Oryctolagus cuniculus: one gene and its partners. The protein of the gene in region 3 interacts with the protein of the main gene of each other region in a pairwise test. Links are inferred from orthologs where the notes say so. Each region holds a gene or a part of one and is shown on either strand. Other genes may lie near its edges.

The links.
Region 1: the proteins of BYSL (region 3) and TRIM27 interact in binary tests that used the Homo sapiens proteins (3 or more experiments, as listed by UniProt). The two-hybrid records come from large-scale screens. The link is inferred for Oryctolagus cuniculus from reciprocal best matches to the Homo sapiens genes BYSL and TRIM27.
Region 2: the proteins of BYSL (region 3) and KIFC3 interact in binary tests that used the Homo sapiens proteins (3 or more experiments, as listed by UniProt). The link is inferred for Oryctolagus cuniculus from reciprocal best matches to the Homo sapiens genes BYSL and KIFC3.
Region 4: the proteins of BYSL (region 3) and FXR2 interact in binary tests that used the Homo sapiens proteins (3 or more experiments, as listed by UniProt). The two-hybrid records come from large-scale screens. The link is inferred for Oryctolagus cuniculus from reciprocal best matches to the Homo sapiens genes BYSL and FXR2.
Region 5: the proteins of BYSL (region 3) and PNMA2 interact in binary tests that used the Homo sapiens proteins (3 or more experiments, as listed by UniProt). The two-hybrid records come from large-scale screens. The link is inferred for Oryctolagus cuniculus from reciprocal best matches to the Homo sapiens genes BYSL and PNMA2.
Region 6: the proteins of BYSL (region 3) and TRIM54 interact in binary tests that used the Homo sapiens proteins (3 or more experiments, as listed by UniProt). The two-hybrid records come from large-scale screens. The link is inferred for Oryctolagus cuniculus from reciprocal best matches to the Homo sapiens genes BYSL and TRIM54.
Region 7: the proteins of BYSL (region 3) and MTUS2 interact in binary tests that used the Homo sapiens proteins (3 or more experiments, as listed by UniProt). The two-hybrid records come from large-scale screens. The link is inferred for Oryctolagus cuniculus from reciprocal best matches to the Homo sapiens genes BYSL and MTUS2.

The regions. Positions count from the first base shown.
Region 1 is NC_091436.1:154,135,823-154,139,978, forward strand, and holds the start of TRIM27 (zinc finger protein RFP), read right to left. Parts: upstream 2,801-4,156; 5' UTR 2,456-2,800; coding exon 2,036-2,455; intron 861-2,035; coding exon 765-860; intron 1-764. UniProt on the Homo sapiens protein: E3 ubiquitin-protein ligase that mediates ubiquitination of various substrates and thereby plays a role in diffent processes including proliferation, innate immunity, apoptosis, immune response or autophagy.
Region 2 is NC_091449.1:41,234,508-41,238,007, reverse strand, and holds part of KIFC3 (kinesin-like protein KIFC3), read left to right. Parts: intron 1-275; coding exon 276-434; intron 435-531; coding exon 532-771; intron 772-1,177; coding exon 1,178-1,351; intron 1,352-1,819; coding exon 1,820-1,967; intron 1,968-2,497; coding exon 2,498-2,628; intron 2,629-3,500. UniProt on the Homo sapiens protein: Minus-end microtubule-dependent motor protein. Involved in apically targeted transport. Required for zonula adherens maintenance.
Region 3 is NC_091436.1:127,974,015-127,976,914, forward strand, and holds the end of BYSL (bystin), read right to left. Parts: intron 2,083-2,900; coding exon 1,922-2,082; intron 1,748-1,921; coding exon 1,645-1,747; intron 1,172-1,644; coding exon 826-1,171; 3' UTR 501-825; downstream 1-500. UniProt on the Homo sapiens protein: Required for processing of 20S pre-rRNA precursor and biogenesis of 40S ribosomal subunits. May be required for trophinin-dependent regulation of cell adhesion during implantation of human embryos.
Region 4 is NC_091448.1:52,173,967-52,177,969, forward strand, and holds the start of FXR2 (RNA-binding protein FXR2), read right to left. Parts: upstream 2,801-4,003; 5' UTR 2,431-2,800; coding exon 2,350-2,430; intron 1-2,349. UniProt on the Homo sapiens protein: mRNA-binding protein that acts as a regulator of mRNAs translation and/or stability, and which is required for adult hippocampal neurogenesis. Specifically binds to AU-rich elements (AREs) in the 3'-UTR of target mRNAs.
Region 5 is NC_091433.1:47,729,334-47,733,303, forward strand, and holds the start of PNMA2 (paraneoplastic antigen Ma2), read left to right. Parts: upstream 1-1,170; 5' UTR 1,171-1,268; intron 1,269-3,970. Other genes in the region: DPYSL2 (dihydropyrimidinase-related protein 2), read right to left, coding at 486-839.
Region 6 is NC_091433.1:175,699,524-175,703,597, reverse strand, and holds the start of TRIM54 (tripartite motif-containing protein 54), read left to right. Parts: upstream 1-1,274; 5' UTR 1,275-1,730; coding exon 1,731-1,898; intron 1,899-4,074. UniProt on the Homo sapiens protein: May bind and stabilize microtubules during myotubes formation.
Region 7 is NC_091440.1:85,074,682-85,078,181, forward strand, and holds part of MTUS2 (microtubule-associated tumor suppressor candidate 2), read right to left. Parts: intron 1,636-3,500; coding exon 1,537-1,635; intron 276-1,536; coding exon 156-275; intron 1-155. UniProt on the Homo sapiens protein: Binds microtubules. Together with MAPRE1 may target the microtubule depolymerase KIF2C to the plus-end of microtubules. May regulate the dynamics of microtubules at their growing distal tip.

The DNA of each region.
Region 1 (4,156 bases), about 26 Mb from region 3:
AGGGGAACTGTGGTCTCAGCAGATTGTGTGGGCAGAGCAAGTGGTGGAATCTAAGGACACCTTAGGAATGAGCTCCCTGCTTAGAAGGGACACAACTTAGAACTGACACAATTTCTCTCAAGATTCCAGACACTGCTAGTCTAGGAGTTTGCTTTTCAGATGCAAACACCTCTAATGGTTAGAGGTCTGTAACATTTTATCTATTCCACTCACATTGTAAACACTTAGGTGGTAAATATGTAAGTGTATATGATAAAACCCTCTGTACTTTTTGTTTTTCTAAAACAAAACTCCAAAATACCCATATCAGAATTAGCACATCAGGTTCCTGCCAAAGCCTTGGAAGACTGCTCAAAGAAAACAGAGCGAAAAACTCTGTTTAGAAAGGGGAATGAACACTCCAGAAAGTCAACCAGTGGGGCTGACACAAATCCATCACCAGCACCTGTGAGAAGGATAGTGCACCACAGGATGCCAGCTAACTATTCTCAAGAATTTCACCTATCTCAAGTCTGCCAAACATCAGTCCTGGCCCACAAGCAGCTAACAAGCTAAACTTTACTGATCCAGCAGGTATCTATGACTCCCAAGCACAGCTCCTCCACCCTCTCCCCAAAAGTAGGGGAGCCCCTTGGTTCTCCAGGTTAAGTTTCCACTGCCACATGGGGTTGTTTCACTTGCAACTGGAAGAACTGAGCAAGTTGGCTTGACAGAAGCACGGACCAGCAAAAGCGCTATTATCTGGGAATTCCAAAAGCCCTTACCAGGAGTTCAGCGCGTGCCTGCTCCCCCTGCGCCCGGCGCCTCTTTTTTAAGTCTTTCACCCTTTTTAGATGGTCCAGCTGGTTCTGGATTTGTTCCTGAAAAAAAAAAAAAAAAAAAAAGTTGGGCAGGCCATAGTATAACCATGGCTGTTTTGCTTCCCCACAGACAGAAACTACAATTCTGATGCCAGGTGCCTGGTGCGAGCCTGTGTTCAGACCACACTACCATCCACAGAAGACTCAAAGCACAGGGGCCACCACCTCTCTTCTATGGCAATGTGTGCATTTCTTAAATGAATCCTCTACCCAGTTTAGCATTAGGGTGACTGGACTAGGAGATTTAAAGTCAAGTTGTAGACCTTCCACAGAGGTCCACTGAGAAAATGAAGCAACTTCTCTAATTCTCCTCATGTGTGACGGGTAAATACCACTTTCCCAGCCTATTCCAGTTACAAGGAGAGCAGGTGAAATGATGCAGTTAAAAGCTCCATGTTAGGTGACTATGCAGAAATGCATTCACTTTTAAACACGGACAAAACTGTGGGTATAATCCTGTAGCCCTCAAACACATAGCAAACAGACAACATCAAGGACGCCTGGAATGTCTCCTTAAAACTCTTTTGCACGTGATACTTTGTTTCCGTGTTATTGTTTTGCTGCCGCAGTCGGTTCAACAGTTTGCAAAAGGCTTTGCACTTCTTATCCCCTTAATCATAATACCTGTTATCTCCCGTGTCTCAGGATGGCGAAATGCCTTACTCAAGCAGTGGAGAAATGTGTTCCTTTCCATGAGCTTCTAGAACAAGACGGTTTACAAGAAGTGCTTACAGACTAAGTGACGGGCATCTGCCGGATGACTCGGACACCGCGGTCACCGTCCGAGCGGGTTTCCTCTATAATTTGGGAGCAGAGTGTCTCAGGAGCCTATTGATGTGTACACAGCTTTATGCACATCTTGTAGGGTGTCGGGTTTGCGGGTGGGGGTGGGGGAAGGGCTCCAGGGAACGTCTTTATGTCCATAGCGTCCGAGATCTGGGAAACACAGGGATAGGAGTGGGGGTGGGGTGGGGCGACTTCTGGCTTCCCCAGCAGCTACAGGTTTTCCTCCAAATCCGAGTGCGGAGGCTCGGGAGCGGACAGAGAGGAAATGACGGCTGTGAACCACACGTCCGGCTCAGCCATTTTCTAGGCAAGGAAAAAAAGGGGAAGCCCCCGTGGCTCTCCCCTCCCTTTGTCCGCCTCGCTGCGCGCGCGCCGGGGGGGGCCCTCACCTTGAAGCCCTCCACCGCCTCCTCGAGCGGCAGCACGCTGTGGCCGCGGTGCTCGCGGGAGCGGTCGCACACCACACAGATGGGCATCTGGTCCTCCTCGCAGTACAGCTTCAGCGGCTCGCGGTGCTTCTCGCACACGCCCATCTCGCCGCCGGGCCCGGACGGCCTCTCGGTGCGCAGCTGCTTCACCAGCTGGGTCACGTTGGCCAGGTGCCGGTTGGGCCGCATGTGCCGCTGCGGAAAAGTCTCTCGGCACTGCGGGCACGACACGTTCGTCTCGGCCGAGCCCCAGCAGCGGGCGAGGCACGCGCAACAGATGTTGTGGCCACAGTCGAGCATCATGGGCTCGACGAAGTACTGCAGGCACACGGGGCAGGTGGTCTCCTGCTGCAGGCACTCGGCCACGCTCCCGGAGGCCATGGCGCGGGCTGGCGGGGGCGCACGGGCATGGGCCCCCGGCGCCGAGCTCTGCGCGGAGCCCGACTCTCCGGCGCTCTCTCCGGGTCGCTGCTCGAGCCGGGCGGGCGGAGGGCGGTGCCCCTCGGGCCCGGATTCCCTGGGAGGCTCCGGCGGCCGGGCAGCTCGCTGCCCTGTTGTACCCTTTGAACGAGGCCCGGAAGGCTGCCTCCCGACGGAGCCCCGCGGCTACGCGGGTAGGGGGGCCAGGCGCGCAGCGCCTCGGGCCGGATTCACAGGGGCAGGCGCGCCAGGCGCGCAGGACAACGTGGCTGCGTCCAAGCGGATCCCGCAGGCCGCGGAGACCCCGCCCCGGCGCGACCGGAAGAGGCGGGGCGGCGTGGGGCGGGGCTTGCGGTTCTTGGCCTCGGGGCCTAGCTGTTTCCTGCCGCGGAGGGCGGCTTGGCTGGGCGCGCGCCCCAGGGCGGGACGGGTCGGGACGGGACCTCCGAACCGGGCGCTGAGGACCCCTGGTCTTTTGTGAGGTTTTCTTTGGGCGCTCAGGCCTTAGCCCTTGCCAGAGAGGGCTGGCTTTGTGTAGGACTGGGAAGCGCAGGCCCTGAGGCTAGCGGATGGGGCTGCAAACTGAGCTGCATCCGGTACGTGACGCACTTTGTTAAGCAGAGCCATCATTTGCTGCCGCTCGCCGTTTTGTTTAGGGGGAAAAATGGGTGTATTTATCATTCTGAAACATTTCCGCAGGGAGAAAAACCGCGAGCCTAGTTCTGCTACTCCCTATCTCTGCTCATGCAAGGTGTTTTACCATTCTGAGCCTCAGAATCGGTATACCTCAGCAAGAAGGTAGACTTAATCGTTTAATTTTTGAGCCGTAAGGATGTTTATCCGTGAAAACCGCAAAATACCCACGGCGTAGGGTTGTTGTATTGAGCGGCACCTGAAAACCTCTTGTTCCTTTCTGAAGTTCAGAGTGCGAATCCCACAGTGCCCCGGGGTCTTGGAATCCCGGGCTGTCTGTTCTCTTATCACACAGTGGATTTCCCGTCATCCCTACTTGGTATTTGCTGGTTTCCTTGGGATTTTTCTCAGTGTGGTTTTGGGTCTCAGCAGTAGGGCCTCTGCTTCCGGAACTTCTGTTTGGAGGGATCCGAGAGGCGAAGTGGACATGCCAACCCCAAGCCCACGTCCTCTGAACCACACTCTGAGTACCCAGTCTGTGAAATTCCAGACCCCAGTAACCCTAGCCCACTTACAAAAAACGTAGAAATATTGGGCGGGGCCATACTGTTCGGAGAGTCCATTAGACCTAAGGTATTTATGCATATTTGTGCAGCTTCTCTCCTCTCTTATCTCTCTTCTCATCTGGCTGAAAAAATAATAGGAATGCCGCAAAGGTACAGTGCTTAAAGTAAGAATAAGCTGACAGATCGATGGGACAGAATGGAAATTGAGAAATAGACTAAAATGTTGGTAAGAATTTGGTATCATGTAGAGGAAAAATCAGATTGGCTCTAAAAGTTCAATAAATGATCCTGGAACAACCGGGAAGGTGTTGGGGGAGGGGAAGACTACTTTTTATTTTTACAGATTTATTTATTTATTTGAAAGCCAGAGTTCTTTCTCAAAGAGACAGGGACAGAGACAGATATTTCATCTGCTGCTTCGCTCTCCAAACAGGCGCAACAGCAAGGGCTGGGCCAGGCTGAA
Region 2 (3,500 bases), on a different chromosome or scaffold from region 3:
ATGGCTGGCTGACATAAAATAGGAGTGTGAACCCTGTGCATAAATATGACTTCTCGGCACTTTCACACTCAGGAAACTAGGCCAGGTGGGGGGTGGGGCAGGAGGCCCCCTCCTGGCCGCCTCTCTTCCTCTCTGCCGCCTGTCTCTGGGTTTCTTTCCATGTCCTGCTCTCTCACGTTTCTCCTTTTTCTTTCCTCCTCCTCGGGCCCTTGCCTGCTGTTTGTCCGCCCCTCTGCCCACTCCACATGCCTCCCCTGGGCCCCGGCCCTCCGCAGGGAGGCACCGACTTGGAGAAGCTGCGGGACCGGCTGACGGTGGAGAATGAGCGGCTGAGGCAGGAGCTGCGGCGCTGTGAGGCCGAGCTGCAGGGGCTGCGGGCACAGCCGGCCGTGGCGGCGGCGGCAGCGCCCTGCCCGGGCTGCGAACACAGCCAGGTAAGCCGGCCCCACACCCCGGCCCCGGTCGGTCCCGGAGGGTCCAGCTCCTCCTCAATGCGAATGCAGCCCCTCACGGCGGCCCGCGCCCCCGCAGGAGAGCGCCCAGCTCCGGGACAAGCTGTCCCAGCTGCAGCTGGAAGTGGCGGAGAACAAAGGCGTGCTGTCCGAGCTGAACCTGGAGGTGCAGCAGAAGACGGACCGGCTGGCCGAGGTGGAGCTGCGCCTCAAGGACTGCCTGGCCGAGAAGGCGCAGGAGGAGGAGCGGCTCAGCCGGCGCCTGCGCGACAGCCACGAGACCATCGCCAGCCTGCGGGCCCAGTCCCCGCCTGTCAAGGTGAGCCTCACCTGCGCCTGGGCCCAGGGCAGGGCAGCCTCGAGAGAGGGGCGCGTCGTGGGGATAAAACAGGTGTGGGTATTTAATGGACTCGGTCCCGTGCTGCACTGGGCCTTGCCCCTTTCTGCAGCTGGCCAGGGCCGGAGAAAGTGTCCACACCCAGTGCTCGGGTGCCCGCGTGTGCCCTCTGGGTTCTGCCCTTCTCCTCTGTTCCGTGCCCAGGTGGGAGTCACAGCTGGGCTCGTAGCAGGCTCTCATTAAAATGAGAAGATTCCAGTGCGTTCTGGAAAGCCAGGACCCCAGGCTGCTCTCGCTTTTTTCCCCCCGGGGCTCTTGATGGGGCCCCTCGAGGCTCCCCTCCCGTGGTCACCTCCCAGGGCCCCACACGCCTGCCTTCGCCTTGCAGTATGTCATCAAGACGGTGGAGGTGGAGTCGCCCAAGACCAGGCAGGCGCTCAGCGAGTCCCAGGCCCGGAACCAGCACCTGCAGGAGCAGGTGGCCATGCAGCGGCAGGTGCTGAAGGAGATGGAGCAGCAGCTGCAGAGCTCGCACCAGCTGACCACGCAGCTCCGTGCACAGGTGGGTGGGGGCTGGGACGGCGCAGTGGCTAAGCATGCCGGGACGGGCCAGTGCCTTCTCTCCCTCCTGACCCTGTGACCAAGGGCAAGATTTGTCTCTGTTTCCTCATCTATAATGCGCTCTGCTCCCAGCGCCCACGGTGGGCCCTCTGGGACGCGACCAGCAGAGGTTCAGGCCCGGTGTGCTCCATCAACACCACGGGGCTCGGGTTCTCCTGACTCCCCCAGGGCCTGGCCCAGGCGGGGCTGGGGCCCAAGGCAGGGGGTGAGGGGTGGAGAGGTGGGACGGTGGTGGCAGCTACATGGAGTTCGCAGCCGTGGGCCCGGGAGAGAGAAGCCGGTTGACCCTGCTACCGCGTGTGCTTGTGCAGGAGGGGGGTGTGGTGTTGGTGAGGGGCGGGGCTCCCCTCCCTGTACCTTCCCCCACCACATTCCACGGCCCTGAGCTTCCTCATGGCCCGGCCGCCAGATTGCCATGTACGAGGCGGAGCTGGAGCGGGCGCACGGACAGATGCTGGAGGAGATGCAGTCCCTGGAGGAGGACAAGAACCGGGCCATCGAAGAGGCCTTTGCCAGAGCCCAGGTGGAAATGAAGGCCGTGCACGAGAACCTGGCAGGTGAGGCGGTCGCTGGAGCCCTGCCCGCCCCTGACCTCGCCGCGGCCCCTCCCACCCCGCCCGAGCCCTGCCCACCGCCCCCACTCCGCCGTGGCCCCTTCTACCCCGCCCGAGCCCTGCCCACCGCCCCCGCTCCGCCTTGGCCCTCCCACCCCGGCCGAGCCCTGCCCACCGCCCCGCACCTCGCCGCGGCCCCTCCCACCGCGCCTGAGTCCTGCCCGCCCCCAACCCCGCCGCGGCCCCTTCCACCCCGCCCGAGCCCTGCCCACCGCCCCCCACCTCGCCGCGGCCCTTCCCACCCCGCCCGAGCCCTGCCCACCGCCCCCCACCCCGCCGCGGCCCCTTCTACCCCGCCCGAGCCCTGCCCAACCGCCCCCGACCTCGCCGCGGCCCCTCCCACCCCGCCCGAGCCCTGCCCACTGCCCCCTACCTCGCGGCGGCCCCTCCCACCCCGCCCGAGCCCTGCCCACCGCCCCCACTCCGCCGCGGCCCTCCCTCCCCGCCAGCCTCACTCCCCTCGCGTCCCGCAGGCGTCCGGACTAACCTCCTGACGCTGCAGCCGGCGCTGCGGACCCTCACCAACGACTACAACGGGCTCAAGCGGCAGGTGCGCGGCTTCCCCCTGCTGCTGCAGGAGGCCCTCCGGAGTGTCAAGGCTGAAGTGAGTGCGGGGGCTGGGTCAGGGGCTGGGAGAGGCACTGGGGCCTTGGGGCAGGCGCAGCATCCACTCGGGACCGGTTCCCGAATTCACAGACACTTCCGCAGCTCCCACACGCTGGCCATGGCCAGCTATCTGACTGCAGGCTGTTCTGTTGTACACGTGTGACCGTGACCATAGACCTACTGCATGTTCTCACGTGTGCTAGGTTTCACTTTGAAAACTGGACTTAGAGGGTGCGAATAGCCCAGGTCTCTTAAATGCCTCCCACGTGCAAGCCCTTGGCTCCCTGAATTCGCCCGCCAGGGCTCTGCAGAGTAGACCGCGGGTTCTTCTGTCAGCAGTGCTGAGCGGTGCGCAGCTCGGGGAAAGTCAAAGCCTGCGGCAGGTGCCGAGGAGCCCCGCAGCCGCCCGCGTTGAGCCCGTTGGTGTCTGCGTCTCCCTTCATAATAACAAAGGAGGACACACGGGGTTGGGGCTTCCGCATCTCTTTCCCCCTCTGAAGTGTACCTGGGACCTGAACTCCACCACCTCGTAGTCTCGCGTTCGGTGGTGTCAGCCCCACGCTGCAGGTGAGGGGGCTGAGGCCGTTGTCTCAGGCGCCCCAGCTGTTCCGCTGGAGCTGGGATTTGTGCCTAGCTGAACGCTGTTGCCGTCGGGTGCTGGTGCTGCACCCTGCACAGGGCAGGGTAACTGGGAAGCAGTGGCTCAGTTTCTTCACCTGTGAAGTGGGAATGTAGTAGCCCCGCCACCCGAGGGGTCACTGGGAAAAGGTGACATAGGACAGCGCATGTCAGTCAGACCCTCAGCCCACAGCAGGATGCAGGGTGCACCCCTGGTGGGTGGGCGGTGGGGCGAGCCAGGCCAGGGAGCCG
Region 3 (2,900 bases):
GGTAGCAAGGGCCCATCTTCTGCTGCCTTCCCAGGTACATTGGCTGGGAGCTGGACTGGAAGTGGAGCAGACAGGACTGAAACTGGTATTCCAGTGTGGGATGCTGGTGTCACAATACCAGCCCTTGGCCTAAAGCTTTGATTGGCTTAAAACCTAGGAAGGGAATCTATCTGGTGCTGATCCCACCTCATCTGCAGACCCATCTCCCCTCTGTAGTTGTTCCATCCATGGCCCAGAAACCACTACTTTCTGAACAACCCCATGGCTGGCCTTCTACCCAACTAACTAAACAGTGTCATTCGTTCAAGGGGAAGGCAGAGCATGTGCCCCTGGGGGCTACTGGAGGCACGCAGCCTGGAGAAGCACTTGGGAGGTTAAGGTCGGCTGCTGTGTAAACTGAGTAAAGATCCCACTCCCGAGACAACAACAGGGAAGAGGAAATTCCCACCTCCAGCCACAGAGAAGGAGAAAGACCTTCATCAACTGCAGCAGAACGCAGGTTCAATAAATACCCGTCTTTGTTTTTCCCAGTGACTTGATAAAACAGGCGGAGAAGGTGTGCTTAAACCAAGCCCCAGCTGGGGAGTGGGAATGCTGGGCTGTGGATCACATCAGCTCACCAAGGGAGCAGGGACGAAGGCCTAGAAGAGAGGAGGGAGCCAAACAGACTCTCAGGCCACCCTGCCCGGCCTGGGAGCCACAGATGCCCTGTGACCTTGTCACTGCCCTGGTCTTCAGGCATAAAAAGCTCAGTGTCATCTTCAGTCACCCAGGGGACCTGGTGTCCTCCCATGCCCACTGGACCAGGACAGGTGACCGTCTTCCTCACTCCATGGTGATGGGGACATCTTCTACGTCACGAGGGACTGCACTCTGAAGCTCCCGCCTGATTTCGGGGGAGAGCTGTGGGTGGGGCTGCAGCCGGAGCAGTTCCATGAGGGCTTCTTTCTGTTCTGTGGCCAAATCTGCCTTGTAGCGCTGGACCAATGTCAGCAGGCACTGGTGCCAGAGCACGGGCAGCTCCCGCTTCTCTGTCCGGAACCCCAGGAAGTGGAAGACCAGGGCATCCAGCACGCGGTAGGGCAGTGCGTACTTCTTATCCAGCAGCAGTCGTAGGAAGATGCTGTTGGCACCACTGTATTCCATCTCGGCGATTTTCAGCATGGCCGCGCTGGGGAAGGGGTGGCGTGGTAGGGTTAATCCATGGGGAAACGCTGGAGGAGGGAGCCTGGTTCTCCCCTCTGCTGGCCCTTAACAATGGTGTTCCCAAGGGGGCCATCTCAGGCCTCCTCACCTACCCAACTTCATCCTTTTTTGACTGCAGTTACCACCTCTACCTCTGGCTTAGACACTTGTCCCAGGATCCAACTAGAATGTCCAAACATGCTGACATCTGCACCCCCACCTCACTTCCTCCCTGTGTGCCCTACTCATTCCACTATTTACTGGGCACCTGCCATATGCCAGGTGCTGGGATCCTCTTCTAGTGGAACTTACATTCTAGTGAAGCAATGACACACCCACTGCTTCAACCAGCCACAAATCCACAGCTGTTCTACTCTTTCCTGTCGCTACCCTCTCCCCAAGTCCTGGCCACCCCACTCTGTGCACTGCGCAGTCCTCCTCGAGCCCCACCAACACTACCTGGAGTGCAGCACAGGGATAGAGCACTTGGTGATGATGCTGCCCACGATGATGGCTTCCCGGAGAGTACAAGTGCCTGACTCGCACAGGGGGATCAGGATCCCTGGAGACAGGCAGAGGGTAGTCACTCCCAGCCCAGGGTGAGAGGAAGGTACACCAGGAAACCCCCGCACCAGCCCCAGGGGCCAGCACTAGAGACACCCACTTCCCGCAACAGGTCAGCTTTCACCTGCAGGCGCTCCAGCCCCTCGCTCCTTCCTTGCCTCTGGGTGCCCACCTTTGAACCAGGCTCCAGGCTTGAACAAGGCCTTCTTGAGCGCCATGTACAAATGGAAGTTGAGTCGTTTGTATTCAGCGATGTCATCTCGTATGCGGGGGAGCAGGACGAGGTTGTAGAAGCGCTGGGCCATGCGTTCTTTCAGGTTAGAAGCAAAAATCCTAGTGGGGTGAGGGGAAGTCCCCAAGTCACATGATAGGTCTGGACTTACCCCTTTAAATATCACTGGGTGGAGGCTGCTATTATGGCACAGTGGATTAAGCCACTGCCAGCAATATCTATATCTCATTTGAGGGCCAATTCAAGTCCCAGCTGCTCCCTTTCCGATCCAGCTCCCTGCTGTTGTGCCTGGGAAAACAATGGAAGATGGCTCAAGTGCTTGGGCCCCTTTCATCTATGTGGGGAAACCTGGATGAGTTCCAGGCTCCTTGCTCCAGCCTGGCCCAACCCTGATCATTGAGGCCATCCAGAGAGTGAGCCAACAGATACAACATCAAGCTCTCTCTCTAACTCTGCCTTTCCAATAAAAAGATATTTAAAAATAAACATCATTTGGGGGTCAGGTACTTGGCATAGCAGTTAAGATGCCACATGGGGGCTGGCATTGTGGTACAGGAGGCTAAGACTCTGCTTGGGGCTCCAGCATCCAACATGGACGCCGGGTCATATCCCAGCTGCTCCACTTCCGATCCAGCTCTCTGCTGTGGCCTGGGAAAGCAGTGGAGGATGGCCCAAGTGCTTGTACCCCTGCACCCATGTGGGAGACCTGGAAGAAGCTCCTGGCTCCAAACCAGCTCAGCTACAGTCATTGTAGCTATATGGGGAGTAGATGGAGGACCTCTCTGTAACTCTGTCTCTCAAAAAGAAGAAGAAAAAAAAAAGAAAAGAAAAAAGAAAAAAGCCACCTGGTTGCCTATATTCCACATGGGAGTATCTGGATTCCAGTCCTGGTTCTGCTCCTGGGAAGCAACAGGTGATA
Region 4 (4,003 bases), on a different chromosome or scaffold from region 3:
GCAGCTTCCCAAACTTATAGTTCCAGAAGCAGTAGGAATGCTCCTTGACCTACACTAAAGTTTGCTGAGTCATGAATATTAAATTAAATCAGCAGCAAGGTCAGCATGGATAAATATCTATATGACACTGAGCTGAAGAAAGATTAGTCTCAATTCAGAGATTTGTTTTGTTGTTTTTTTACCTTAGGTATGGGACAAAAAATGCTAATGTTGCCAGAACACAAAATCCACATTACCTCACTTTCAGTTCAACTCCAAACTCTACTCTGATTCAAAGTATTCTGTGCCCCAATTCTTCAAGTCACTCATGGCCACAGCCCAAGAGCAAAAAGGGAAAGTCAGAGACTTCCTGTTGTACACTTAGATGTGGATTACAGGAAAGATGGCCCTTCCCAGCTGTTTCACACATTTACTGTGAAGTGGGTACCATTCTTTCCCAGCTGTGCCTGGCTGTCATGCTTCCTAGAAAAAAAGCAAACATCATTATCTTGATCTCAAACTCAATTTAAGAATCATTTCTCTTGGACTCCAGAACTCGGGGGTGGGCAGGACTCAGATGAAAGACAAGACACTGGGATAAACAAGGCTAACATCTTATGAGGCAGGGTTTTCAACAAAGGTAATGCAAGACTGGAGGAAAGGATGTTAAGAGGCAAATGTGCTCTATCAGAACCAGAAAGGAATTAGAGACGTTTTGCCAAAGAAAACAGAAATGAAGAAAAAGTCCTAAGAGTTAGGAAAGTATGCAAAAAATGACAAAAGCAATCAGCTGGGAGCTTCCTTCAGCTAGAAGTGTAATAAGGTGGTTCCTGGGGATTATAGAAATATTAGGATAAAAGGCCAAAGACTTGAACTGAGAGGATGAGTTATGAACAGACACTAGATATACAGCAATCTGGAGAAGAAAGGAAGCAAAGAAGAGTGAATAGGTACTTACAGAGAGTAAAAAATGACTACAATGAGCTTATCAACTGAAGTGCAGGCAGTTACCATCCACTCCAACCAAGGGCAAGACCCTTTCCAGCTGTAGTAAGAGACGACTTCACAGTCATCAGCTCAAGCCACTTCCAAGGGCATGGGAAGATTGAGAGGTCTTTGTAGGGGGGAAAGACCAGAAGGGAACTGAAGGAGAGCTGGCCCTGGGAAGATCTCTCTCTTGCGACTCCTCAGGATGAAATGAGACAGGAATCAGGAAAATCTCTGGGACAATTCCAGACACAAAGTCCCAAAGAGGTTAGGATTAGCAACAATCACACAAAGAAAAATTCTTTGAGTGGCTAAAAAGGTCTCTCTCTGTACGGCATCATCTAAATGGGGACAAAAAGTTCAAGAAAATGGGTTCTAAACAAATAAAGCAGTAGTAAAAAGAATCCTAAGGAAACCAATCCTGGGCAAGGAGGGAGCTGAAAGAAGCAAGGGTCTTTGAAGGATAGTCCCCTTTTCCTTCCAAAAACAGGCTGCAGGATTCCAGAACTGGGAGAGATGGCCAAAAGTCTTCTAGAAGTGGAAATCCTTAAAAAGAGAAATGGAAGGGCTCATGGGGAGACTCCCTTTTAGACACTATGCATATGAAGCTTACCATCAACATGCAGAAGCTGTATGAATGACCTGAATGGATCTGAGGTCAAGGCACGATAACAAACAGAAACCTTCCCCTGGGTAGAACGGTGGACCACCGGGCTGGCCCGGGACTGAAGGGGGGCTGGGGTGCCAGACTTATGAGCAGAGGCCACTGGCTGGAAGGCAACATGACTGATACAACCTGAGGCCAGAGATGCCAAAAGTCATAAACGGATGTTGACCGTTTCTCCTTGGGTTGGGAACGGCAATGTAAGGCGAAAGTGGGGTGAGCGTTCCAGAGCCAGTAGGCAGAGGCCTCTCTGAGGATAAAGGAGCTAATATGGGACAGAGGGCCTTCCCAAGGGGGTCATGTGGGAGAAGAAAAGAATTGTCCATGTGCTTGGACCGCGGGGAAGAGGTGATTAAAGGCTAAGGTATGGGGCGGGCGTTGTGGCACAGCGAGTTAAGGGCCTAAGGTACGGCTTCCAATAGCAAACAGGAAAAGTCAATTAAGCTGAGGAAAGAGACTTCTCCTGGGGGTCCGGGAGCGCCGATCCAGGCACAGCAATGCCCCGATTCTATTCTGAGCTGAAGGTAAAAGCAGGTATAGGAGCGGAGTCAAAAATAGGAGGAAGAGAGCGAACTCCCGGCAGTCTCCCGGGGAGGGCTGCGGTGGGAGCATGGGTCGAAGGTTCTACGGGTCAGGACTCAGCTCCAGAACCCTGGCCCGCCCCGCTCTGCCTGCTCCGGGAGCTAAAGACGGGGTCCCCGGCCGGCGCACCGCCTCACCTTGTAGAAGGCCCCGTTGGAGCCGCGCACCTCGACCGGCAGTCCCGGCTCCACATCCCCCCCAGAGGCCAGGCCGCCCATGGCGCCGCCGCCGCCTCCGACGCCCCCGGCGGCGGCTGCAGCAGCGGTCTGAGTGCGGGCCGGGCCAGGCCCCCGGCGTCTCCCCGGAGGAGGAGCCGGAGGGGGAGCCGCGGGGGGCGGGAGCCGGGCCGGCCCCACGGCGGCCCTGCCACAGCCAACGAGCAGGGGGCCGGGGCCGGGCCGCTCCCCGTCCGCCGCCGCCGCCTTGGTCTCCGCCACCGTGAGGGAAACGGCCGCCGCCGCCGCTGCCTTCGTCACCTCAGCTTCCGCCCGCCGCCGCCCCCGCTGCTGCCCCAGTCCCGGGACCCGCTGCTGCCGCTGCCGCTCCACGGCCTCCACCTCCCCCTGCCGCCGCCGCCTACTGCGCAGGCGCACCGGGCACCCGCCCGCCGCGCGCGGGACCCCGAGGCCCACGGCGCAGGCGTCAAGGCCGGCGACCCAGCTCGCGCTCGCCAGCGCATCAGGGCTTCCACATTCCCTTTCGCTCTCTCACGCCCTCTCGTGGTCGCTTCCTTGCGCTTGCGCAGAACGAGATTAGCCCTCTTTCTTCCCCACCCGCCCCTCCACAGCCCCCATCTCTTCCTTTCCCCGCCCCACAACACTCGGCGCTAGCCAATCGCGGGGAGGGAGGAGCCGAGCTCGCGCAATCGGATTGGGCCTCGGCCGCTCGCGCTCAGACCACACCCTCTGCGCCCCGGGAGAGCCGCCGCGCTCGGACAAGTTCGGGGTGGGCATGCGCCTGCATGACTGCTTGGTCACTTTCCTCACCTTTGTCTGTCTTGGTGCGCACGCTCCCAAGGAAAAAAAAAAAAAAAGGGAGAGTCGAAAAGCAAAAAGTGCCCGGCGCGCAGGCGCTGAGCGCCAGTCGGCGCGCACGCACGGACTCTCGTCAGCGTCTCTGCGCTATAGGATATTTGAGACTGGAGCTTGTCGCCTTGAGCGGAGTCTGATAAAATGCGAGGCTAACGAGTCGTCTCGAGGCACTACCGAAAAGCAGCTAGGCTGGTGCAAGATCCCGAGCCTTAAATATTAAAGAAATTCAAAAGAGGAAAAATTTTCAGAAGTGAGGATGGTAGCGAGAAAACTTCGTATTCCTGAACTAAGATAAGAAATTAGGAGAAAGTTAAAAAAAAAAAACACACAGACATTAGAACAGTCTGCATGTAATCATTTAGCCAATATTTATTTTACTCACACTATGTTCCAATCAATGCGCTCAGTGCTAAGGGTTACAAAGACAAAAACACATTGCAAGGTACCAAGGCACATGTAACAGATTGGCAAAGGGACGATTAAATATATAAACGCATACAGTTTGATGGAAGCTGTGATAGATTTAAGGAGGGGAATTCTGAGGAGACATTGGTTAGTTGTTCTCAGGAGTGGTCAGGGAAGACCACCCAGAGGAGTTGATGCAAGGGATGAGTGGAGTTTGCTGGGGGAGAAATGCAGTCACAGTATTCCGGAGAGAATGAGGGATGCAATGGTGCAGAAACACAGAAAGCGCATGGCCTTGGAGGAGCACAATTACCAAAGTTCAAGTAGTATTTGCTGTGACGTGGGGAGCCACAAG
Region 5 (3,970 bases), on a different chromosome or scaffold from region 3:
GCGCCGGAGCAGGTGCGGCGCCGAGCGGCGGTCCGAGCCCTCGCCCCTCCCGACCCCCCGGGAGCCCGCGGGCCTCCACGCCAACCTCCACCGCACGCTCCGAGCTGCATCAAAAAAAGGGTGGGGCTCCCAGCCACAACTGCAACCCGAAGCCGCCGGCCCGGGAGGACTTAAGAAGAATGGAACCGCGGCCCACCCCTCTCCCAGGGCGACCCCCTCTCCTCCCAGACCCCGATCGGCCAGTCCCTGACGCCCATCCACTTCCCAACCCCCGAGCCCGGGGAAGCGCGAGCAGCCTTTGTGGGCGCACGGCCGCCCACCGCCGCGCCCTGCGCGCAGAAGGGGCGGGCAGGGTGGGGTGCGCGTGCGGAGGCGGAGAGGCCGCGGTCGCGGCAGGGCACGAAGGCAGGCGCCCAGGCTGCAGGGGCGAGGGGCGAGCTGGCGCCCGAGCGCCCGCACCCACTTACCTCCCCGCACACACCCACCTGGTCGTAGATGTTCTGTAGGGCTTCCTTGCCCGAGGCCCGCCGTATCTCCACCTTCCTGCCGGATTCAACAGATGGCTCCCCGCCGGCGCGCCGGCCCTGCCGCGAGTACGGCGTCTGAGGGTCCGGGCCCAAGTGGGCGACGTCCCGCTGCTGGGCCACCACCTGCCCCGAGCCCCGGCCCACCGACAGCGAATCGAAGTCGATGGTCTTGTTCTCCGAGGACCCTTCCACCGGGCAGAACATGCCACAGAATTTCTGCCGCGGCTTGGGGCTGCCCGAGCCCAGATTTTTAAAAAAGGCAGGGACCTCTTCGTCCTCTGCCGCCTTCCCGGACTGCTTCCTCTCGGCCATGGCGCGGGGCTGGGGAGGGTCCCGTCCGTGCGTGCGTGCGCTGGTCCTTCAGGCTCCCTCTCCGCGTGCACAGACCGCGCTGCCGCTCTCTGCCCACCGCAAGGTGCACAGAAAGGAAGGCGGGCTGGCGAGCGGGCGACCCACCCTCCCGGCCCCGCCCCCTGACCCCGCTCTCTCCCCTCCCTGCCCACGCCCCCCGCGCAAGCTAGCGGCAAAGTTGAGTCTGGGAGGGCCGCCGCTGCGGCAGCCGGAGCCGAGACGCGGCCGGTTCCCGGCAACGTGGGGCGGGGCGGGGCGCGCGCGGGACCCGGGCGGGGGGGGGGGGGGAGGGCGGCGCCTCGCGGAGCCCCGCGCTCCGGAAGTGAAGCGGCCAGACCCCCGGCTAATGGATGCGGAGCGCAGGGCGCGCTCGCCGCTCTCGGCGCCACCGTAAGTAGCAGGCCGAGCACGCGCGGAGAGGACCCATGGGCGCAGCCCCGGCGCCCCGCTCCCCCGCCACATTGCGGAGTGGGTCGGGGGCGAGGCCGCAGAACTCTCCCCCCCGCCCCGCTCCGTTTTACCCGGGTGGGAGCTGGTGGAGGGGGAAGGGGCGACCAGCTTATTTAGGCACCGGGATTGTCACAGGGAAGGCGTGGCGGAGAGGGTGGCAGTAGGAGTGGGAAAGGTGTGGCGCAGGCGGCGCCGACCGCACCGGGGGACCCCCCAGGCTCGCCGACGCTAGTACTGCCGTGCACCGACGCCGAGGGGGGCGGCAGGAAGCAGAGACCCGCGAGAAGGTTCTCGCAGGTTGCACGTGGTGGAGGGTGCGGAGGCGCAACAAGGCCGGGAGTAAAGCGCAGGGGCGTTGCAAAGTGGAAGACGGGGTAGCGTAGCGAGACGCAGGTGGACGGTTTGTGTGAGCGTAGGCAAGACTGCAGCCTGCACGTGCCAGCCCAGCGGAATCTGCAGAGAGAGGTTGCAGAGTCGCTGTATTGCCTGAGGGCCGCCATGCCGCCTCTGCGCCAAGATTTGGTATCTTCCATCTCCCCCGCCAAAAAAAAAAAAAAAAAAAGGTGGGGGAGAAGCGGGGTGAGGGCCACTCCCTAAGCCTTCAGCCTGCTCCCGCATCCGGGCACTGTGTCTGTGCCCCCTCCCCTCGCCCCTGTTGGCGCAGTGCGCCAGAGCGGCGGGCGGAGGAGGTGCCTCGATCTGTGCGGCGCCCCGCGGAGACCAGGTGCGGACCGCGGCGCCGGCGGCGCGGCTCTCCGGGGCGCATGGCGATTCGTGTGGATGAGGCTGGCCCTGCCATGCTCGTCTCCACGGCCTTCCCCCGTTTCAGCCCCTCCTTTAGCAGTGTGCTGAGGGAGGTCGGCGCTGAGAGAGGCAGCAGACCACGGGCCCGGTGACCGAAGACTCAGCCCGCACCCCCAGAAGGATGAAATTAAACCACGCTTCCCCACAGGGCGAGGCCCGGTCGGTCGGCTGAATAAAGTTTGGAGGAGAACCAGTCAGTCTGTGGGGACGGCGTCTCCGCCAAGTGGGAGGGGCCGAGGAGCCAGGCAGGCATTTTGAATCCCCGCACCAGATGTGCTTTGCATTTGAATAAAGCGCTTCTCTCTGAGTTACATCATTTCCTACTCACCGCAGTCCTGGGAGAGGACGGGTTTTATCACCAGGGCTTTCCAGGTTAGGAAACTGAAATTCAGGGAGATTGGAGGCATGCTGCCCAAATCTAGTGAAATGACCCAGTAATAACAGTGTGGGGGGGGGGTCTTCCGGCTCCAACTGCGGGTGTGGTTCCCTGAAATGTGAAAAAACTCAAGAGTCGGACATTTTTTCCACATCCAGGGGTTTCCATCTGGGGCCCTATTCCACGTTAAATGCATTGCCCTCGCCATCTTTCTAATTGAGGGGCAAGGAGGGATGGCACTTGAGAGAGTGGTCCCAAGGTGACAGCTACGTGGGTCTTAGAGGTGTTGCTTTCTGAGCGTTCAAAGCCTTTCCTCCAAGGGGCAGGAAGGCCAGCCCCATGGTGTAGAAGGGAGAAGTTCATCATGGAAGAGCCAGGAGTCTCCAGCCCCCGGAGCTGCTCAGCGCAGACTTCCCTGGCACCTTCCAGATGGACGCGGTATGTCTGCCGCTGGTATAGCTGCAGGTGACTTCTGTGGCATCTGGACGGCTGATGGAAGTTTTCAGGCCAAAGAGGAAATGATCTTAGCTCCCTGACACACCCTCCCCAGTGCTGATGATCGCAGTCCACAAGCAACAGTGGTGGTCTCCCCAAGAGTGTATCATCATGACCATCCTGGTTTGTGTCAGTCACTCAGTGGTGTTCACCCAAGGTCCAGATCACAGTGCCTTTCTCTGAACAAATCTTCACCACTAAGCCGCACGTGACTGAGGGCATTAGGAACTCTTGCCTCCCCAAGTTCAACGCTGGGAAGAAAGTGTTGTGTTAATAACTTACTCTTATCAGCCCTAAAGGTGTTCATATCTGGCTAAAAAGCCTATGAGAGTATCTCAGGCATGGAAAGCCAAGACACTGTGGCAAAAAATGACCTAAGTAAAAGATCTCTGTGAGTGAGATCCCAGCGGAAAGAATGGGCCGTCAAAGAAGGAGGTACCTTTCCCTGAAGGGAGGAGAGAACTTCCACTTTGATTATGGCCTTGTCTAAATAAGATCAGAGTTGGCGAACTTAAGAGGCTTCCATAGCCTTGGCAGCTCCTGATGACAAGAGCCTTGGGTGACTACTGACGTCATAAATAAGAGTGTCAATTGTTAACAACAGGAGTCACTGTGCACTTACTCCCCATGTAGGACCTCTATCTTTAATGTGTTGTACTATGCGAATTAACAGTAAAACTAGTCTTCAAACAGTACTTTACACTTTGTGTGTCTGTGTGGGTGCAAACTGTTGAAATCTTTACTTAGGATAGAGTTGATCTTCGGTATATAAAGATAATTAAAAATTAAAAATGAATCTTCATGAAGAATGGGGTGGGAGAGGGAGAAGGAAATGGGATGGTTTGCGGGTGGGAAGCTGGGTGTGGTGGGAAGAATCACTATCATATAAAAGTTGTACTTTTGAAATTTATATTTATTAAATAAAAGTTTTCTATTAAAAAGAACTTATTCATAGCACAAAAAAAAA
Region 6 (4,074 bases), on a different chromosome or scaffold from region 3:
GCAGGGTGGGCCCTGTCCCCAGAGCTGCTGCACCAGTTAACCTTCCTTTGTTGCCACTGTGGACCAAGAACTCCTACCATCAGCCTCCTTCCTAAGCCAAGACACCTTTCTGGGGCTGGTCTTCCTCCTCTGGTGGCCAGCTCAGCCCTGCCACCTCGAGTCAGCCCAGGAGAAGTGAGTGCTTATGCGGCTTGGGGCAGTTATCCCACCTGTGGACTGTCCCTGGACCCCAGCTGCCGGCACAGCCCCCGCCAGCCTGGCCCCCGGGGTTGGCCAAAGTTCTTGCTTCAGCATCTGCTCGCCCCCACCCTCTGGACTCGCCTTGTGCAGGCCGGTCGCCCTGCATTTTGTCCTTAAAACAGGACGGGAAACGTGACGAGGCGAAGGCTGTGCCTTGCAGACTCTTTCCCCGCTCTTCCTTCTTCGTCCTGCCTCTCCACACCACCCGTTCTCCGCCCACTCAGGGTCAGAGCCTAGGAACTCCTCTAACTTCACCCTTGTCTGGGAGAAAGGTGAAGGAATGTTAGTAAATAAAAGAACTTTTGACAATCCCAGTGCGTGTGTTGGGCCCAAAGAAGACAGATGGTGCCAGCGACAGAGGAAGAAGGCCGTAGGAGAAAAAGCGAGAAAGCCACGTGCGGCGAGCCTGGTTCGCAGGGCAGGAGTCTGGGACACGTGTCGGGCCGGGCAGACGCTGCCCATGCTCTGCGGCTGTGGCTTTCTCGGTGCTCTGAAGTTTCCCTGGAGACTGACTGCCTGGTGCTCAAAATAGGTCTCTGGCTCTCAGGTCCTTTCCGCCTGCCCAGCATCTCCCAGTTTCCTAACAAACTGAAATTCCGTGGAGTGGCCCCAGCAGTGGGTGGGCGGGCCAGAATCCCACTCTCTCAGGACTGCAGCAGCCACTTGCAGCCTCCTGAGCTTCTTTCCCTAGAGTGAAGAAATGGCTGGGCAAGCACAAAACTGGGCCAGACGTGTTGGACGAGAGGCTGTCTCCCTAGTGTCCGGTGCCCTGTTCTGAACCACTTGGTCTTGGGGAGCAGGAGACTGTCATTGACCCTCTCCGAAGGTCTGGCCAGATCTCTCCTCCCACCCTGAGCCATGAACCATGCTGCCCCTCATACAGGCCGCTTTAGTCTGTGTCACTGTTCTGGACCCCAAGCCAGAGCACGGGGCCAGGGGCTCCCAGGAGCCTCTGGATGACTGCTGGCCCACCTTTCACCGTCAGGAGTGACGCTCACCCTGCCCTTGCTAGAGGGAGCCGCCCATCCCTGTGTGAGTCAGGGTCACTCACTGGGTGACAGCTGGGGCTCGCCTTACACGAGCTAAATCGGGAGCTGGAATGTCATGCAGATGCCCCTCTCTCCCCACCCCCACAGTAAAATTAATCTCCTCTCTGGGGAGTAAGGGACAGACAGTGCTGCCCACAGAGTGGACAGGAGAGAGTCGTTTGGGGGACAAAAGAGAATTTAGAGAAGGGGAGAGAGAGGCCGGGCAGGGTGCAGGGCAAAGAGCAGAGAGACCGAGAAGCGTCTGGAACCCGCGCCCTACGGACGGACGAGGCAAGTTGTGAGAGGAAGGGACAGGAGCTGTAGCAGAGCTATTTCCAGAGCGAGCAGCCGAAGGGAACAGAGCGTCTACAGACTGCTTAAGGGGCGCGAGGAAGGGTCCCGAGGCAGCGGGAGAAGGCCAGGACCAGGGCCGCGGCCAGGGCAGGCACGATCGCTGAAGGGATGAACTTCACGGTGGGTTTCAAGCCTCTGCTAGGGGATGCGCACAGCATGGACAACCTCGAGAAGCAGCTCATCTGCCCCATCTGCCTGGAGATGTTCTCCAAGCCGGTGGTGATCCTGCCCTGCCAACACAACCTGTGCCGCAAGTGCGCCAACGACGTCTTCCAGGTGGGCTTGGCGTGGAGACCCGGAAGGGGGTGGGCGGGGGGCTCCGGGAGGCGGGCAGTAGCTGTTGTGGCTGAAGAGGGGAGGAGCCGGGCTCCTTCCTGTGGATCCCAAGGTAAGCATGAGTCAGCAGCCGCCCAGCAGGCTGGCGGGTACAGCCTGTACTGGGGCAGCAGCCGGGAGGCCGGCTCCTACCCCCGGGGGCTCCGTGAGAGCCTGCGCTCGACTCTGCATTTCAGTCTGGGGCTTCGGACTTTGAGAACAGTGTGGAAAACCGGGAGAAGGAAAGGGTCAGTGAGAGAAGGAAAGAGTAACCCCCATGAGAAAGCACCGTCCTCACACAGAGTGGTTTGTTCTGAAGGCGAAGCCCAGCGAAATGAGACATGGCAGGTAGGAGACTAGGAACCGTCCCATCCCCAGCGTCAGTTCATGCCTGTGGCCCTCCGAACTGCTCAGCACGGAGGCCTCCCCTGGCTCGTACAGAGAGAAGGCGGAGAGGTTGTGTTCCCCAGCGTACACCCCAGCGTACAGCCAGGTTTTATTTACCGTGGTGGTGGAGCAAAGCATAGTGAAGCAAACTCACAGAAGCCATTTTAGTCGCAGGCTTCAAAAATACAAGGAGCACGTGCCAGGCTGGTCTATAAAGGGGCTTTCTTTTCTCCTTTTTTTTTTTTTTTTTTTTTTAAGATTTATTTGTTTATTTCAAAGGCAGAGTTACAGAGAGGCAGAGAGAGAGAGAGAGAGAGAGGTCTTCCATCTGCTGGTTCACTCCCCAAATGGCCACAATGCCTAGAGCTGGGCTGATCCAAAGCTAGAAGCCAGAAGCCAGGAGCCAGGAGCTTCTTCTGGATCTCCCACACTGATGCAGGGGTCCAAGGACTTGGGCCATCTTCTACTGCTTTCCCAGGCCATAGCAGAGCTGGATCGGAAGTGGAGCAGCCGGGACTAGAACCAGTGCCCATAGGGGATGCTGGCACTGCAGGCAGCAGCTTTACCCACTATGCCACAGCACTGGCCCTTATAGAGATGCTTTCTTGACCTATGCTGTTGGGGAAGGTTCTAGTAGGCTATTGGAACAGATCTCAGGGAACATAAGGGGGAAAACACCCAGAAATCTGCCCTTGCAAATGATGTAAAAACCCGGAGTAGACTTGAGCTGGATGGCTTAGCATGCGTGTCAGTGACATGGAGACCATGAACAAGTGTTCTTCATCTGCATCACAGGTTTGGAGAGAATGTATTGAACACAGGTTTTTTGTTTTTGTTTTTGTTTTTTAAGATTCGTTGTATTTGTTTGAAAGGCAGAGGGAGAGATAGATCTTCCATCTTCTGGTTCATTCCTCAAATGGCTGCAACAGTTGGATTTGGGCCAGGCCAAAGCTGGGAGCCAGAAGCTTCATCTGGGTCGCCCCCATGGGTGCTGGGACCCAAGAACTTGGGCCATCTTCCTCTGCTTGCTTAGGTACATTAGGAAGGAGCTGGATCAGAAGTAGAGCAGCTGGGAATTGAACTGGTGCCCATGTGGGATGCCAGCGTTGCAGGCAGTGGCTTAACCCACTACACCACAAAGCCAGCCCCAAACATGGGTGATTTTTAACTTAATCAAGAAAATGCTTGGCTTCTTAGGTTGCTTAGGGCAGCATGTTTGGGGGGAAAGAATGGGCCAAGCCAGGCCATCCCATGCTGTGCCTTTGACCCCCCTACTGTGTGTCTGTCCTGTGCCCTCTTTATGTGTGCCCAGCACCCCCAAGTCTCTCCTGCCATCTCCCCATTGAGGCCACTCCCACCTCCTATCCTTCTAAGTATCCAAACCAGCCATCATTGGCCCGAGAGTCTCACAGCCAGTAGCTTTACCCAGATCAGGGTTCCGGACCAAATGCTGTGCCTGCTCAAGTCCTGTGTGAGAAGCCACACCTTGCCTGCCACCTGGGTTTCTCCCTTGGACTAAGGAACTCCCTGAACACCTATCAGGCGAGATCTCTAGGAGGAGATGGCAGGGAGATTTGCCATCACTTCTCATGGGTTTGTAGTGAAGCAGCCTCTTACTAGTACCTAAAATACATAAAAGCAAAAAGGCTGGGAGGCACAGACAATGCAGCCTGTCGAATAGTGGTCATAGCATCCTTCGGCAGAGGGACCCAGGCCTGGGCGCCACACGTGGAGGCCAGCAGAGATTTGA
Region 7 (3,500 bases), on a different chromosome or scaffold from region 3:
CCCGGGAGGGTCTGAAAGGTGCCAGGAGGCCCATGTCACCCAGGGTGCTGGAGGCAGACACTTATACCCCGGTTTGCCTCTAATAACAGTCAGAGGTGTCTGCACCAGGGACAGGGCCCCGTGGCCCCCACTCCCCTGGGCAAACACCAGCTCACCAGCTTTTCCAGCTCAAGAATCTTCTTCTCCTGCTGGTGGATCTGCTGATTCTTCATCTCTAACACCTGCTTCAGGCTCTGCATGTCCTCTTCCAAGTGCTGATACGGGGCCAGGGCGATCTACAGGGGCAGGCGGAGCAACGAGCTGCATGCCGGGTCCTGGCAAAGCCCAGTACTAACCCACACCGTGCGTCTGCAGGTCTGGGGAGGGCCCAGTGCCGCCGACGACCAATAAGGGGTCACGCCCAGCGGTCATTGTCGGCTCTTCCATGGGAAGCGGACGATCCTGGCTAACGAATGAGCCGTTTCCTCCCAGTCCCGGGAACAAATTGCCAGTGCACCCACCATGGGATGGGCGTCACTCAGCTACTAAGATCCTACCCATCTGCAGGAGAACAGGATGCATTTGCTTAGTCACTCTGCCGCCACACTTCACGTCCAGGCAGAAGCTCACATTTTGAATCTGGGTAAATCTGGCCATCACTAGCAAGCTTCCCAATGGGCAGCTGCAACACCAAGGAAGAGGGGGGGGAGGGAGGGAGGGAGGGAGGGAGAGAGAGGGAGAGGGGGAGAGAGGGGGAGAGGGGGAGCCGCCAGCGTGGGAGACTTGGCTTGAGTTCTCAGCTCTCAGCTTTGGCCACTGCGGGCATTTGGGGAATGAACTAGTTGGCCAGGAGCTCTGCCTGTTTCTCTCCTTCTTACATAAATAAAAAATCAAGAAGATGCAAGAGTAACACCCACCCAGACGCTTGATTCACCAGGGAGCGAGTGATCTTGCAGGACCCCCCCGCCCCCTCATGCCAGTAGAAAGACCCTGCCCCATGCATAGGACATGAGCAAGGTAGTTAAGAAAGCAGAAAAGTCATTTTAGAGAAAGACTTGGTGCGGCAGGGTTGCCAGATGTAGCAAATACAAGCACGGGACCTCTCATTATCTGTGAATTTCAGATAAGAAACTTTAGTATAAGTATCGCCTGGCATATACTTATCCTCGAAAACTCACTTATCTGTATTTCAAGTTGACCTGGGGGTCATGTGTTTTACCCAGCAACCTGGCACTAGGGGAAGGACTTTTTGCCAGCTTTAATGGAAGAAACCCCTCCACCCACAAATCACGCTGAAGCCAGTGCCACTGCTGCCCTGAGCAGCTTTAAGGGAAGCTGGGAGGGAGTGGGATGGAGGCAGCTGAGGCCATGGTGAACCTTCCAGACTCTGCTTAGGCCAGGAGCTCAGGGGTCTGGGGTAGCGGGAGAAGCCACAGCTTTGGTGTGTCCTGGGCACAAGTGGTGACAGCAGTTGTGTGGGGAGGGCGTGGCCAGCTGTCTAGGGCTGAGGAGGCCCTGGCCACAGTGGGGCTGGGAGGCCGGGGGAACCTGGAATACCTCCAGCTGCTGCTCCGTGTTTTTCCTCAGAGCCTCCTCGAAGCGCCGGGCACGGTCTCGCAGGGACTGGCTCTGGAAGGTCAGCGTGTCCACCTGGTCCTGCAAGGAATGCCATGAGGTGCCCGATGGGGGCCTCTGTGCACACCCAGCCCCGCCTGGGCAGCTGGGGTGTCAGGGCCAGCCAGCTCGCCCTGGGGCTCTTCAGAGAGAGGGTCTCCCATGGGTCATGGTGGGGGGTCCCCATCTGCGTGGTGGGGAGAGATGCCCCCAACACACCCTAGCTGGCCCCTCCTTGGTGCGGTGTCCAGAGCAGACATAGAAGTGCTGATGGGGGAATTCTTAGGCCCAGCTGAGCGATGCAGACAATCAGGACGGAGCTGGCCAGCCCAGGAGCATCAGCCCTGACTGCAGAACCGCAGCTACTCAGGGGCAAGGAAAACCAGCTCTCAGCAAGGAATCTTCTCCCCGTCCTGCTCCTTTCTCTGCCTGGGGATCCCTCCCCAGTTAGGAGCCAGTGATCAAATCCTGCCTCCTTCGTGTCCCAGGAAGCTGGGATTGACCCCGGGGTCCCCTCCCCTCCCTGGGCTCAGGCCCCCTGCTGGCTCTTTCCCAGCCCAGCACTGCGCGATGCTCTGCTGGCCCCAAGCTGCATCCGGGCTCCTCTTTCCAAGGAACAGGAAAACCTGACCCCAGTGACCCTCACTAGACCCCCCAGTGCCCTTGGGTGCCATGCACACTCTTCTGTTTAGCCTCTGAGGTGGTCTCCCCTCTCCAGTCTTGGTTCCCACACCCCAGCACTTCCGGTTGGCTCTGCCTCCCTCTGCCAGCTTCCTCTAGCTTCAGGGCTGGTGACAAATCCCCAATAGGAGCCAAGCCACGGTCCCATCCTCCCTGTCAGACCCTCTGCCTGCTGGTGCCAGCAACAGGGCAGCCCCGTACATGAGGTTAAAGGGCTGAAGGTGCACCTGCCCAGACCCCGACCCTGAGCCCCGTCCCCGGCCCAGGGCAGACAGAGCTGTGCTGAGCCCTCCCCTCAACCGCAGCCAGGACTCGCATCACCTGGCAGGCAAAGGATGCTCCACAGTGACTTCCCCTGACGCCCAGGGAAAGCGTCACTCCCACATGCTTCATGTACGCCACAAGCCCCCGGCTTCCCCACCCACCACCACCATCTCCGTCACACACAGGGGCTGGGGGACCCCAGGAACCACGCGCCTCATCCCACGGAAGAGCAGGAGAGGGCGCTGTGACTTCTGGGACTCCACATGGCAGCACTGGCGTTATGAAGCCTGGCTGCACCGCTTTCTGGCAGAGAACTCTGCAAACCCCCCAGGGCCGGCTCCTCCTCCCCCGCTCCTCCTCCACCTTCTAACTACTTCCATTTCAGTTTTAAGAAATAAAAGTCCCCACAGTGCCATTAAACACAACAGCTTTGGCGCATGGAAATCACGGCCCCAGTGAGGCTGCAGCCACGTTCCGAACGTGGCCATCCACTCAACCGTGTCCTGCGTGGCTCCTACGCCCAACCTCATCAGTGCTGTCTAGACGAGGAAGACTTTGAGTCTCTTCCCCAGCATTAAAAAGCAGACAAGGAAATCTCAGCAGGCCTCCACCGCCCGCGATGGATCCATGGCACCAAGCTGAGTCTTCTCGCTTCGTTCACTGCTATCCAAACAGAGTCGCTCAGAGCAGTCACAGGGCACAGGACAGTGCTGTGGCCATCAGAACAGGCTCGTTTTCTACTTGTCAGACTAAGAGGCACAGAGATCCAGCTGGCAGCCTCGGCCAGTGGGGGCCACTCAGCAGTCCATGAGTGGCACGATGATGGTGAGGATGAGGATGAGGATGGTGATAGTACAAACAACCAGAAAAACCCCAGAGGCTCTATTAATTAGCAACAGCCATCACCTATATGCCTTTCATTCATGATTCCCCTTAATCTGCTCACCCTTTGAGCTATCCTC